Linked DNA regions of Lonchura striata. The main gene of each other region encodes a partner of the protein of the gene in region 2 in a complex. Links are inferred from orthologs where the notes say so. Each region holds a gene or a part of one and is shown on either strand. Other genes may lie near its edges.

What was found.
Region 1: the proteins of PLEKHM1 (region 2) and MAP1LC3C are in contact, whole or in part, in a crystal structure (PDB 5DPW), measured with the Homo sapiens proteins. The link is inferred for Lonchura striata from reciprocal best matches to the Homo sapiens genes PLEKHM1 and MAP1LC3C. Residues at the interface, in NP_055613.1 of Homo sapiens: Glu632, Asp633, Glu634, Trp635, Val636, Asn637, Val638, Gln639, Tyr640; in NP_001004343.1 of Homo sapiens: Phe13, Arg16, Lys17, Glu25, Ile29, Phe33, Lys36, Pro38, Asp54, Lys55, Thr56, Lys57, Phe58, Leu59, Val60, Pro61, Glu63, Leu64, Ile72, Arg76, Phe114.

What each region holds. Positions count from the first base shown.
Region 1 is NC_134605.1:47,769,869-47,777,293, forward strand, and holds MAP1LC3C (microtubule-associated protein 1 light chain 3 gamma), read right to left. Parts: upstream 2,482-7,425; coding exon 2,424-2,481; intron 2,342-2,423; coding exon 2,286-2,341; intron 2,167-2,285; coding exon 2,060-2,166; intron 1,062-2,059; coding exon 851-1,061; 3' UTR 525-850; downstream 1-524.
Region 2 is NC_134627.1:2,527,292-2,535,109, reverse strand, and holds the start of PLEKHM1 (pleckstrin homology domain-containing family M member 1), read right to left. Parts: upstream 3,021-7,818; 5' UTR 2,991-3,020; intron 2,309-2,990; 5' UTR 1,881-2,308; intron 1-1,880. UniProt on the Homo sapiens protein: Acts as a multivalent adapter protein that regulates Rab7-dependent and HOPS complex-dependent fusion events in the endolysosomal system and couples autophagic and the endocytic trafficking pathways.

The sequences.
Region 1 (7,425 bases), on a different chromosome or scaffold from region 2:
CTTAATCACAAAGTACATGATTTGTCTCTGTTTTTGAGAGAAGGCTCACCAAAGTCCTTCAGGATATGCCTGTAGGGGAATGGATATGACAGTATCTAGAGTAACCATGCTAGCAAAATTCAGTAGCAAGAAAATAACTCTTGAAACTTTATTACCATTCAAATCCTGCTATCTGCATTTCAGTTATGCTAATTAGCAATCAGGTTGCTTATTTAAATAGTTATCTATACCACAGAGAGTGTTTTCTGTAACAGCTGACAGTTTATTTGGGTGTTAAACTCTACACTGCTCTGGCACTACTACTTAATCTCACAGCCCAGATACCTATCTTAATGAACTTTTCATGCTATGGCTTTGCTCATGGGTGACACAACTTAAAACTGATACTTTGTTCAAAAGTTCAGAGTAGCTGTGCAAGCAGTGTTTCATTTAAAAAGCATTGATTCCCAAAATTATTATAGGAGCTTCTCCTAGACAAATTTTTAGAGTCTTTCCCCAGATTAAAAATAATATTCAACTCAATACTTAAAAGGTTCTTTATTTTTCTCTTAGGCTTTCAGGAAACCTTAAAAATCAGTTTGACAACAAAGACTGATATTGCAAAGCAGTGGAGGTGCAGTTCAAAAGAAAAAAACCTAACCCATAGTGTCTTCAAATATAAAAATATATATCCAAATTATTACCTAAGGAAAGTGTACCACCATTTCTGTCTTAAGCTGGTCCTGCCAGCTTTTGGATCATAACTCCCACTACAGAGCTCAAGAGCTCACACTGGAAGGAGTATCTCCGAGGTTCATGTCACAGGCATGATTCAGAGCAAACTGCTTTGCTGCAGCATATGAACCCAATCTTAGATTTTCTGAAAGCATTCCATGGTTTTCCCTTGGGCAGTGGGTAATAAGCATCCAAACATCTCCTGGGAAGCATAGGTCATATACACAAAGCCATCTTCATCTTTGTAGTCCCTGTACACTTCTGCCATTGTCAAGGACATACTGGCTAGGCTTTTGTTGTTCACCAGCAGGTAGAAAGCTTGTGTAGCTGTAAGAGCCATCCTACTTCTAATTGAAAAAGAGAGGAGAAAAAGAGGATTAAACATTAGCAAGCTGAATATGATTTCAACTTCAGTCTATGACATGCATTAAGCAGAGCAGTTGCATGAAGTAGGTACAAGAAATGCTGTGTAAAGTTATTGTTACATTCTTCCATCAGCAGGAACTTAACTGGAAGCTCAAAGGCCTGTGCTCTGAGGAAAGGCTTACATGGCTACACCAAAGGTGCTACCGAGCATGAGCTTGGAGATCCCAGTTACCAGGAAAAAGTGTGAGTAACCAAAGAAGAAACCAAAAGCTTCCATAGTGCAGATTTTGTAAAGGAGTCCAGCTCCAGTCTGTTACATTTACTATAAAGTCTACCTTCAAAAAACAAGTCTTTTTCAGAGACATTACATGCAAGGATTACAATCTAAGTTGACCAAGAGCCAAAAGCATCTTTTACAGAAGTTACAATCTAGAAAGATCTTTTTCTATACTTCAAAAAGTATGCTGAAAAACATAGCTTTCACATTTTGTCAGAAAATACCACTGAGTATTTTGGGCGACTTTGTTTCACAAAGAATAATTTAGAACATTTCATTTTGCTCACATTCAAGAGCTGCTTTGAACTTAAGCTAATTCAGCTAGGTGCACTAAGAGAGCAAGGCAGTGGGAGTCATAAGCAGAACAAGATCACAGAGCCCCAGTATCAAGTCCATGAGGCAGGAAAAGAGCAGAACAAGAGTCTTACATAGTCTTTTTTCACTACAATTACAGAGAAGGGAGGGGACTATGAACCCAAAAAAGACCACATTTTTCACACAAATGCACCTATGAAAACATCTGTTTATTATCTTCAAACACTTGCAAGAGAAGGAAGCCATTACACTACTAACACCTTTAGTGTTATCCTCCCACCCACCAAAGGAAGCAAGATGTCCCCAGCAGCACACTAGGAAATACCTTCCCTGGGAACAGCAGCCAAGTCCAGGTGCAAATCCAAACAAGTAGTATGCACTACCCACCTGATGATGGTTATGAACTGTGCCATGGTCAGCTCCTCGGGAACCAGAAACTTGGTTTTGTCCAAGAGAGGAAGGTATTTCTCTTTATGGTACCTCTCAACAATTACCTGTTTTAATTAGAGTCACACTTAGCAAAACCTAAAATATCCATATCCTTTTCCCTCCCCTCACACGCTTCTTTCCTTAAACAGCGGCAACAAGCTCCGATAACAAACCAGAGATTTACCGGGATTTTGGTCGGGAACTTGGCTCGGATCCCTGCTACTTCTTCCCGCCGGGTGGCTGCGGGGCAGAGAAGAGAAGCGTTACGTGTGCGCGCAGCCCCTGCGACCCGCGCAGCCCTCCGCGCCCCCGGCGCCCCTACCGAGACTCTTCCTGAGCTTGAAGGGCCGGTCCGGCTGCGCGCCGGGCGCCGCCCGCATCCTCCCGCCTCGGGGCCGCCGCTGCGCCCGCCGGCCCGCGCCTCGCACGGAGCGGCACCGCCCGGCCCGGCCCCGCCCCGCCCGGCCCGGCCCCGCCCCGCCCGGCCCGGCCCCGCCCCGCCCGGCCCGGCCCGGGACCGCCCGGCCCCGCCCCGCCCGGGGGAGGCGCGGCCGCCGAGCCCGCCCCTCCCGGCCGCCCCGCAGCGCGCTGTTCTGGCTCCGGGACGCTGCCGTGCTTCGTGAGAGGGCTTGGTCTAGCCTGCCCAGTGGTTCAGGGGTGCAGCTCACGGCTGGAGTGGCCCCCAGCTGTCTTCCCTTTCCACGTGAGCAGCCTTCTTCATACCGACAAACAGCTTTCAAGCGATGTCTTTGGTTTGAAAAGAGAACGAGACAATCTACTCCACGTACACAAAAAACTCCAAAAGCAAACAAAAAAAACTACCTCCACCCAAAAACCCAACCACCCGCCCCTGTCATTTTTCATCTCCTCAGGCTACCAGACTGCTTATTTTCTCGAGAGCTGAGTTTTAGCTCTGGTTTTGTCTCTGAGGCACAGTTGTGATTTTAAGGGGTTTCAAGAAGACTTCAAGTCCATCTATTTGGTAAGTATGATTCCTTGCCTTTTGGATTGCTGGTTCACCTGAGTTTGCTTCAGCTGTCAAGACGGCTTTGCAGATGAAGATGGCTCAGCAAGGGCTAAAGTTGACTCCAGTCTGGTGGTTGTGTTTATAAATCATCTCAGTGGGGGTCTGGAACTGAGCCCTATTACTTGTTTGCTTTGCTTATCCCTTTAAAATATAGGAATTTTCATTTTATTTTATCTATCATTCTGATCATGATCTAGTTGATATGGTGCTTAGGGACGTGATTTAGTGATGGATTTGACAGTGCTAGTTAATGGATAAACTCAAGGATCTTACAGGTATTTTCCAGTCTAAACTCTATTATTTTACCAGGTTAAGGGCAACTAGAATTTGCAAATTTTTACAACTTACAGTTTACAAGCTATGGCAAAGTCAATTACTGTCACCCAAGATAATTTTGAAAAGGAACGTCTTTATTAAAGTGTCTGTGTACTATCTACACGTGTCAGGTTTTTCAAACAGCCTCTCCAGAACAGAGTTTGCAGTGGCTGCAGTCCTTAAGGCTGCTGAGCTGTCCTTTTCTCTTGATCTGGAAGCGATGAGCATCAGCCACAGCACAAGCTCCCCCACGTGGCAGCACAAATTTTATTTTGCAGAGTAGATACTTGGCTTTGAGGGACTCATAGGCAAGAGCTCTGAACTTTGAGAAAGGCCTTGAGCCTATGCTAGAATGGTTTGAGTCCAGCTCATCCCTATGATTTGATCTTTGCATGAGGGGAGGTAAGCCCAGGGATTGGCTTAGAGTAGCTAGGTCTAGTTTAAGGGTTTTTGAATAGAGGTGAGGTGAGAGACTGAGGAAGGCTAAGTGAAGGAGGATGTGTGCCAGAGAATTGACATAGTGCCTTAACTCAGTATGGTGAGTTGTATCTAAGAAGATGAAGGAAAATAGGAATAATTTGAAGAGTAAAGAAACTGCATGGACAGCACAGGAACAAAGCCTGTAGGAGACAGGAGGATGTGTGGAGATCACAGAGTGTTTCTTTGGAACTGTGGTCAAGCATGGGGCTTTCCAAAGCTGTTCAGGAAGTGTATCGGTTTTCCCACACCCTCGTTCTGGTTCTACCTAGTAGATTCAGTAGAAAGAGCTGTGATCCACCTTGTGTAGAGAAGAGGGAACCTGCTATCTATACCCATGCTCTGCTTCCTGTGTCACCTCTCACTGCAGGTGAAGTACAAAAGTGTGGCTCCACCCAGGTATCAGCTGCCTTGTTTGCAGGGAGAGGTGGTTTCTTTTCATGTTCATAAACTCCTATGGCAGCATCTGGAAAGGAAAGTGAAAACCTGGTAAGAAGGTGAGCCAAAAAGATGATTTCCTAGCAAGCCTGGTGATCAGTTATGGCTCTAATGTCTGTGAGAGTTAAGAGTGAGCATAAACCCAGGCTTTAATTAGCATGTGCTAATTAATAATTTTCTGGAGGTAGAGAGAATGGGATGTCTAATGTGCCTGCATAGCACCTATACTTGCTTCTGCAGTGAAATACTCAGTTTCAGACCTAAATGTGGAATCTATTCCTTCTTACATCCTTTCCTTTGGAAGTTTTTCTTACACGCACATAATTAATGAGCTGATAGAGCAATTTTGTGTAGAGAATGGAATACTCAGAGGATACTATTGATACAGAAATGGAAGGACAAAAGTTTCTACCTGCTCGAATGTCCAAAGCCAGCACTTACAGGCATCCTTAAGTCCCCAAACATTAAAGGACAAAGTCAGAGTTCTGTATCTTATCTAGTTGTTTCATTGCCACATCCATAGCCTCTTCCAAAGCCCAAGGTCTGCAGCTGTGTGATTGAGTTCTCATGTGTCCACTGTCTCCATATTGAAATGATCTGCTCTGCAAGTGCTCTCAAACACTCCAATGTGTCCCAGGGAGTCAACAATTTAGCCAAAAGCAGCCATCTACTTTTTGCAAATGCTGTGAGACTTGCACTGCTTTCATCTGGATCTGTGAGATACTGTGGATGTAAGGCTCAAGTTATCTGTAGACTAATAATTTAAATATGAATGATACAGTGCTATAAGGACTGAGATTATTTAAGCAACCTAACTGAATAGCAAGAGAAACTGCAGCATGATGTTCTTAGGGGAAAAATGTGACTTGGCAAAATGAGGGCTTATTTGTCGCTCTGCGAAAGCCTGTGAAGTTCTACAGTATTATGCATAGTTATCTTAAATACATGTTTCCATGGGGGTTGTAAGTGAACCATGAGGTTGAAAGTGAAAATAATCAGGAGGTTTTGAAGAGCCCTCAAGCAGTCAGGCTCAGCCAACCAATTTAATGGGTTTTCAAAGAGCCATCCTAAATATTTGCATGTTTCCTGAACACAGGTAGTTACAGATATGGAATCCTTTACTTACTTCTTTCTTCTGCAACTCTGAATCTGTCTGTATGTCCTCCTGTGACACAGAAGCAAGCCCACTCTTATGGATAAGCCTGAAGTTATTGTGTGCCAGTAACTAAATTTGTGAATTCATAAGTCTTTATACCAAAAAAGTTAGCTGGAGTATTATTATGTTTAAGGCGATGCTTAGTACTGTAGTATGATTTTGGTCCAAGGTCACCCACTAATAAGACTCAGATTATAAACTTGTCTCAAAATGCTGAGATAAATTTCAAGGTCAGCAGTGGTATTTCTCACTTGATTGACTAGGGTTTATATGTACTTTTGGCTCTTTTTCTTTATCTCTTGATTTTTGAACTCTTATATTGAACCTACATCATAACTGATGATCTCTTGGTGTAGCCACAAGGATTAGAAATTATTTATGATACTTTTAAACCAGAGATTACATTACTGTTTTGTACCAGAGCTTGAGATTTTGATCTTAAAATGTCTCTTCCACAGAAGAAACTTCAGTTAGACTCAATAGTTCTCTCTTATCTTTGCCTGTATGCCTGGTATTCAGCTCATTGTGATGGAATAGTTTCTTTAAACTAGTATTTGGATTAAAGTGCACCAGTTGTACTTTTCTCTTCATTGTGCTCTTTCATTTCAAGATTTTTAAAATTGCTCTCAATATTAATTAGCTGAATTTTCAACCATATTGAAAGAGCTGAGCTCTAGTGGTGTATCCTCAGTAGTGTTTTAAGTTCTTTCACACATAAGTGCTCATAGTTTAGCATTTTAAATTTTACAAGAATTTGAGACCTAAATTTTCAGTATTTTTCAGCAAGGGTTACTCAAATTGGTGATTCTGACTAGACATAAAGCCAAAAATAAATCAGTTACTCTCTTTGAGAAAAGCTGGTGTGAGCTGGCAACCTGTTGGTCACAGCCCCTGCAAGTACATCTTTGACTTTCTGTTTCCTGCTGTAGCAGTGGTTCACTGGCTTTTTGCCCTACAGGTGTGGGAGAATGGATTGTGAGAGAATAGAGACAGTGCTGAAGGCAATCTTGCCCCTGATGAGTTGCAGCTGTACTAATTACCAAAGAGTAGGAACAGCCTTGCCTTTAATATGTCACAGCTGTGTCCAGTAAGGATGGGTGTTATAAAAGAGTGGCTCAGCTGGTTGAGGGAGAGTTGGAGTCACTTGGCTGTGATGAGAAAGGGTCAGGCAGCTGTGTGGAAGGAAAAGGAGCCAGTGTTGTGAGAACTGCCCATGAGAACTCACAGGGAGAAGGTATGAAAGTCTTACAGTAAGATAATAAACTAACAGTGGCAGTCAGTTACCATCTACCATTGGTTACTGCCAAGCACCAATGCTGACAATTGGTGGCCCGTACAGCGATGGATCCTGACATACAGGGGCTGAACTCAAGGTCTAGGCAAATGTTAAAGAGGAAAAAGCATTATTGGATCTTCCTTTCCTATCATCTGTTCTCTTATTACCACTAATAAAATGCAATGTGTTTTGTTTTCTGTCTACAGAAAAAACAGAACTGATATTGTTGCTACTAGGCAATTTCCTTGTGAAACTAAAGCAGTGTTCTTCTTGTGGACTGGAATTATGGGCACAATTTCTTTCTTATCTTGCTGTGTCTGCTGTTTGACTTGGTAGAACATTTGCACTCTGGTTTGCTGGTTTTAATAATGCTCCTACTATGAGTACAGCTCTTGATGCTGGTGCCTTGGTGAGAAGCAACAGCATCACTTGCTCTGCAAATATGGATATAAAACTTACTCTTTGTCCAAATATGATCATAATAATGTTTGAAGTGTTTTTTTCTTCCATGCAGGGCTTTAAAGTATTTTGTCCAATGTAGTTCAGTTCTTTTCAGATAGGATGTCTTTGGCTTTATTGCAGACTTTTCCTGTCCTCCCTGTTGAGGTTCCAAAGAATGCGACAGACAATGCCAA
Region 2 (7,818 bases):
CTGCTGAGAGCAGTATGACAAGAACTTCTTGGGGGCCAAACCCAGGACAGATCCTCAATGTTTCCAGGGTTCACAGACAATTTCAGAGAAAACGAAACTGCTTTTGCTGTGGCTTGTCATAAGATTTCCTCTCCTTGTGTTGCAACACAGAAATGGCAGAGCACAGGAAAGTTAACCATGGGCTCAGGGGCTGCTGGGGGGGTTGGGGAAGTGAGGGGCCCCTGAAGTGGCAGCAGTGGTTGACAAGGACCGCAGGGAGCCACCCCCATCTCTGCCTTCCACCTGGGAGCCTCCAGCTCCTCAGGGCTGGAGAACCTCTGCCCCTTTCCCTACCACTTCCTTCTACACCCTGAGGACAAGAGGCACATCCTACCCGGACAATAAAGGTGGGAGACCAAAGGATGGGAGAGTCAAGGTTGGGAAATCCAAGAGTGAGAGAACACCCAGGTGTGGGAGAAAACTCAAGGGTGAGAGACCAGAGAGAGATCAGAGGGCGAGACCCCAGGGTGGGAGACTTCAGGAGGGGCACAGGGTGGCATTTCTCATGCCCAGGGAGGCAGCACAGGTGTTCCAGCTCCAAGCCCACCCCGGAGTCCTGAGTTGGTCACAGGGAAAGGGGTGACAGCAGAGGTTTTTCAAAGACTTCATCTAAATTTTACAAAGACCTTGTCTAAGTTTTACAAAGTGAGAGTTATTCCCCGAAAACACTCTCCTTTGCCAGCATCACCTCTCCCATGAGGAGATGAGAGCCTGCAGGAGATGAGAGCTGAGGACAACCCGCCACCTTCACCATGGGACTCTCCACTCCCACCACGACCAGTCCAACCAGTTTATTCCAGCACCATGAATCCACATGGCACCACTTCTGTGGGACAGCATTTTCCTGAATAACAAGTGCAGGGAAGCAGCTCTGAGGAGGATTTCACCAAACAAAATCTTAGGTGAAACACAGGGGAATTGGAACAGGGCACTGGGTCTAGGAAGACCTAGAGAACTCTGGAGCACTTCCAGGCAGATCCTGGAAAGCCACGGCTGTTCCTTGTGATCTTGGAAGAGATGGGATGGATGTACAAACACAGAGACAAGCACAGCTACAGTAGAGAAAACCCACCAGGTTTCCCAGCAGTCACCACCCCAGGGACTCCTGGGTGAAACAGGGAAAAGCAAACAGGTGAGGAACAACCCCAGGCACGGAGCCCGACCTACCCAGGAGAAGAGTCACGGTGCAAGGGCAGAGCTGCTGATTCCCCAGACTGCTGCAAACCAGCCAGATTCTTTGGAAACAGCTGGAAGCAAGGTTCATACCAGCAGAGCAAGCTTCTGTCCCAGAGCTTGGCTCCTCGGTCTCCCAAGAAGCGACGCTCTGTGAGTTATAAATAAACAGCAGGTCACTGCCTGTGCTCTGGGATGGAAAACAACAGCCCACGACGGCAGCGTGAGGGTGACTCAAGCCCTGGACACAGAGCCAGTCATTTTCCAAGCACGAGTACTGTGCCAGTCACCCTCTGCCCTAGGGACATGGGGGCTCTGATGGCACAGTTGGTTCAAGGGCTGCTGGGGGGACAGCCCTCTCCTCCAACACAGCTCCTGCTTTCCAGCCAGAGCTGAGCACAAGCTGGGCACAGAGACAGCCCAGGAGCAGGAAAGCCAGTGGCATGGCATGGGCATTGGCTGGTTGGAAGATAAAACCCCTGGGAACAGCTCAGCAAGGGCTAGGACATGACAGAGCCCCAGCAGGATCCTCATGGTCTGACTTTGGCTCCTTCGCTGTGCCCAGAGTGATGGAGCAGTGCTGTGATTCCCACAGCAGGAACACAGGCACGGAGTGAGGAATGGCACCATCACACCACCCTTGTCCCTATTTATCGCAGCTGACAAACCTGGTGGTGGCTGGAGAAGTGTCACCTTCAATACACCTGTCCAGCTTCTGCCCTGCAGGGCCCAGGAGCAGCCAGGGGAGGAAGAGCAGCCACTGAGCTACCAGCCTGGACGGCGAGACTGTGCTTCCCAAATGCTCCAAACTGGGAATTTCCTTCAGCCTAATACCTGCTTCTGCACCAGGCTACAATTTGCTGGAGCTGCAGGGAGAGCTGCGGTTGGTTTTCCGTGGCACTGCAGCCACTGGAGCCACCATGCACGGGCCAAGCAGGTTGTGAAAGCCCCAGCGTGTTGAGGCAAGATGTTCCCAAGTTTCTATTCCCAGTTTTTGTGTTGCTTTGGATTGCCAGCGCTGGAGTTTCCCCGTGGATGTTCCTGGTGCCATCCGGATGGGTGGGTGGCTCGCATCCCCAGCAGGGGACGGCGGTTGCTGCAAGGTAGGCAGAGGAAAGGGCCTTTTAATCTCTGCGTTTTAGACAAGACTTAACCAGATCTTGTTTGCAACTGCTCATTTGATATGATATATTGAGAATGTAACACATGATAAATCAGGGAAAGCTGTAAGAATCCCACAGGTGCTGGGATCTCTGGCTAGTGGGAGGAACGGGCCGAGAGATCTGGGGTGTCAGCGCTCGTGGGGGTGAACTGAGGACCAGACACCAACCCCCAGTGGGGCCCCTCGGAAAGGCACATCTGACCCGCTGTTCCCCCATGGGGGACACGGAGAGGAGGAATGAGAGGCCGAGGCTGCTGGCTGGGCAGCGCAGCCCAGGCGTGCGGGGCCTGGCACGGGCGGCTGCGGGGGCATCGGGGCGGCTGGGGAGGGATCAGGGCCTGACCAGCCGTGCAGAGCAGGGGGAGCAGCGCTCCCCGGGCTCGCAAAACCCTGCGCCACCTGCCAGACCCCACGGCCCGCACCGCGGCTGGCCCCAGCGCCCCGCACCGCTCCACACACCCCGTCACTCTGCATCCCCAGCGCCCGGCACTCCACGGCCCTCATCCCCGCGCAGCCCTTGTCAGCACCGCACCGCACGGGCCGCGCCCAGCCCGCCCCTCCTGCCAGGCCCCACCGCCCCGGTGCCCCCGGCGCCCCCGGCGCCTGCCCCGCTCACCGGCTCCGGCCGGGAAACCCGGAAGTGCCGGGAGCGCGCACGCCCCGTCCGCGTGACGTCATCACGCGGGGCGGCACCGAGAGCTCCAGGCCACGCCCCCGGGCACCGCGCGGGGAACGGACACGGCTGGACACACACATGGACACACACATGGACACGGCTGGACACACACATGGACATAGCTGGACACACATGGACACACACATGGACACACACATGGACACATACATGGACACGGCTGGACACACACATGGACATAGCTGGACACACATGGACACACACATGGACACAGCTGGACACACACATGGACATAGCTGGACACACATGGACACACACATGGACACAGCTGGACACACACATGGACATAGCTGGACACAGCTGGACACACACATGGACACGGCTGGACACACACATGGACATAGCTGGACACACATGGACACACACATGGACACGGCTGGACACACACATGGACATAGCTGGACACACATGGACACACACATGGACACAGCTGGACACACACATGGACACAGCTGGACACACACATGGACATAGCTGGACACAGCTGGACACACACATGGACACGGCTGGACACACACATGGACATAGCTGGACACAGCTGGACACACACATGGACACACACATGGACACACACATGGACACACACATGGACACAGCTGGACACACACATGGACACACACATGGACACATCTGGACACACGGCTGGACACACACATGGACACACAGCTGGATACAGCTGGACACATGGACACGCACATAGACACACACCTGGACACAGCTGGACACACACGTGGACACACCTAGACAGACATTTGGATACTTCTGAACCCTGTCATGTGTGCAGGGTGCCTCCAGGATGTCATGGCCCCAGAAAGGCTGTGGCTCCAGAGGCTGGGCTGCAGTGAGTGCTTGGGACACCCGGGCCTTCCTGGATCCTCCTTGTCCCAGTCCCCAGGGGACTTTGGGGTGTCCTAAGCATGGCACCCACCAGCAGCATCTTCCTCTACAGAGAGTGGTCATGGAGTCAGCAGTTGAGATCTTGGGGTGCTGGATGCAGGGCAGGGCCCAGGCAGGAGCATCTTGTCTTTCAGTAGCAGCATTTCCTTAGGCTTCTTCCATCTGGAATGACAACAAGGAAACAACATCTGAGGAAATAAAGGCAAGGACATAACGGCAAAGGAAATTCAAGGAAATAGTCAAGGAAAGAGTACTAAGGAAAAAGCCAAGAATATTGTGTGCAAGGAGGTATTATCCAAGAAAATAAGGCCAAGTAAATGACAAGGAAACAAAAGCTAAAGAACTGGGATCCAAGGAAATATCCTGGGATATAGCCACCAAAGTAGCAGTATCCAAGTAAAGCCTCAGCAGTTCCTACACCAGAACAAGTGTAAGAAGATGTGCAGGCATTGCCTGTACTAAAAGTAACAGCAGGCTCTTGATTCCAAGGAAAATGAATCCCTGACTGAGCTGTGCAATGCAGGGTACTGCGATGTGGAGGAAGAGATTTTCCTACTCCCTTCAACTGACTGGGAAAACACTGGGTGTGAATTGTCTGTAAATAGGCAGAACCTGGAAAGCACAGTGCAAAGGAAGGATTTGGAAAGGTGAGGAAGAGTGGGAAGCACATGCTACCAGACCTCACCTGCTGTACATCCTCTGCATTGTAATTCTTCCTTTCCATTACAGCTTTTCAAAGAACCCCAGAAGACGTTGTGTGCGTTCCAGGGGTTCCCAGGGCCACCAAGGGAAGATCTCTGCCATCACTCAGTTCAGCTCTCAAGCGTGTACAGGGGCATCAGAAATGGAAACCATGCAACCATCAGCCTGGGAGCCAGGCAGGTGTGAGGGAGGAAGAGGGAACGAGGATGAGGGGAAAACCTCTGGGGTGCAGAGGGGACAATGCTGCTTGTGCAGCTCCAAGCTAGCACCATGGGGACACCAGTGCCATGGCTTCTGCAGGAGGACACCGGCCATTCCCCTTCCCAGCTATCCACCCAGAGCTCTTGTGCTCACAGGAGACATCTGGAACACAAAAGTGTTGACCCTGGAAAGCTACAGTGGCCTTGGGATGTTCTTGATGCACTACTGTAAAGCCTCTTTGATATCCAAAGAGATATCCTGGAAGGCCTCGTTGGAAAGGGAAAACTCTACAGGGAGTGCTGGAGCTAGGCACTGGCACTGAGGCTGGTAGAAATAACACCTGGGTGAGGAACAACCAGGTGCATGCTCTGCTCAGCTGTGTGGCAGAGCTGAAAGGGGGAAGTGGAAAGATAAGGAGTATCAGGGAGTGGGAGAGGGAGAGGGACTGCTGGAGCCACTCTGAAGCAGCCATTGGACAAATGTCCCAGGCAGACACATCCAAGAAGTCGAGGATGCCCAAGGGTGTTGGCAGCAGGCAGAAGGAGGGGAGCCAAAAGACAGGGGGAATAAAAAGAGGTCCCTGCTGAGGGCAGCAGGGGAATCCCCTCCTGGCCCATCTCACCTTCCCAGCTCCCTCTACACAACACGGTGGAGGCTCTGGGCCTCTGGGGTGGGGACAGTCACAATGTGGATGAGATCCATCCAGGCTGGGGGGGCAGCCCAGGGAGAGACAGTCCAGCCACACTGTTTGAGAGGCTCCCTGGGCACACTGTCCTGAGGGGCAGAGGCGTCCAGGGAGGCTGGACATTGTGAAAGGAGAAATCCTTGAAGGCAAAGGCAGGAACAGGCTGTGCCTGTATGCCCAAAGATGAGCTGGTGAGGAAGCAGAGCCGCTGAGCAGGAAGCTTTGCCTGGGACTCGGGGAAAACACACCATTTACAGCTTTGGAAGAAGGGCAGCACCACAGGAGGATGGCAGGGATGTCATTGGGGCACGCAGGGAGAAAGGTAGAAAAGTAAAGGCCCAGCTGGAACTGAATTTGGCCAATTGCATGAAGGAGAACAGAAACTGCTTTTACAAAGACATCGGCAACACCGGGAGGAACAAGGACAAACTTGGTTTTTATTGAATGCAGGAAGGACATTGCCACATGGGATGAGGAAAACCCAGAGGTACTGATGCCTCCTCTGGGTGTCCAGAGCTTGTGCTTGCCTGCAGCACCCTCTGGCCTTCCCTCAGTATGAAATTAACAGCATGAAAATAACAGACAAGGAAAAAGAATCTAAGGGAATAAGAACAGCCAACGAAACAGCATGGAAGGAGAGCCTCAGCTAAAATGGGAGGTGAAAAATTGCTGGCATCGCATTAACTTCTTCAAAGTCTTCCTCCTTACTTCTTCACACTTCTTCCATGTCTTCCTGGGAAGTTTTCCTCTGGTACTCATAGGCATCCCTGAGACGTTGAATCCATAGCAATTCAGATTTCCTAAATGGGGAGCAACACTGGGAAGAGCCATGAATAGGAGGGAAACAGGAGCAACACTCGGAGGGGCTCCCTGCCCTTTCCTGCTCTACAATCTGTGCCTCCTTCATATCCTTCCTCCCTCTCTGTGGAAGTTTTACACAGAACCTGAAAAAATCAGAAAGGGAAATTTGGGAGAAACAGAGAAAGCAGCTGCTGATGGAGACTGTGGGCAACAGGGCTGCCTGTGCTCTGCCCTGTCTGGGAAGCCGCTGCTGGAGGAGTTGGGAAGGGCCATTTCCAGTGCTGCAAAGCAATGGCGTGAGCGAGGTGAATGGGAAGAAAAAGGCTTCTGGACATCCCATCCCCAGAGGGCCCTGCTCCTGCTCTGTAAGCAGGGAGGTTTGGCAGGGAGGGCTGCAGCAGGCGCCAGCACCTCTTCCTGCTCAGGGGTGTGTCGGCAGAGCCTAAGGAAGAAGATGGGGAGCCCCAGCAGGGATGGCAATGGCTGGCAATGCAGGGAATGAGCCCTGCATGCAAAAGGCAACTGGAGAGGATGGGAGTGAGTTCCTCACCAGCCACTGTGGGGAGGGAGCAGGGAAAAACAGGGCAGAGGCATCAGCAGAGGAGACCGTTCTGGGAACACAGAGGTATTGCTGGTGCTCACAGAAATTTGGGAGTGCACCGGAGCCCAAGGCATCCATCCCAGCGCTGATGTGGGAAGGGCTGGTTGGGCTGGGAGCCCCTGGCCGTGCCCAGCGCTGTCGCTCAGGAGCCGCTTTCCCGGGGCTCCCCCAAACGCGACGTCTTGGAAACACAGCCGGGGGAGTCCCAGGCAGCGGCACCTGCGCGGCTGCGGGGCTCCAGGAGGAGTTGCTCTGCGCAGGAAAGACTCTTGGTGGCACAGCAGTGGCATGGGCAGGGAGCACTTACCTTCTCAGCCACGATTCCCTGGCGTGGCCGGGTGTGGAGTCAACCTGATGGGACAGGAAACGCATCTGGGGATGGAAAACGGGAGATTTCTAACATCAGTTTTCCTGTAAAACTCTTCCACGCAGAAGTGGACGAAAGCTCTCATTGCTGTGTGGCTGAAGGCAGGAGAGCAAAGCAGAGCTGGGGAGAGCTGGGAGAGAAGGCAGGAAAAGCTTCCCCCAGGCAGGCTGGGCCCTGCTGAGCTGGGTGCTGTGGATGCTGCCAGAAGCTCCAGGCTTGGAAAAACATCTCCTGTGCTACCCAGCAATACAGGGGCATCTGGGCACTGCAGCTACAAGACAGACAGCTGTGTGTCAAACAAGATATTGACTTACGTGGAAGAAGGTTCTCAACATCACACCAATGATAATGAAGAGAGATAACAAAACCATGAACATGACCATTATCTCTGTGTGCTCTGATTTCTGCTTGGAGAAAAGGTAAGAAGATCACAGGGGGCAAAAGAATTGCTCCTTTGATTCTCCCTTGCCCAGAAGGACACATGCAGCAGTGCCTG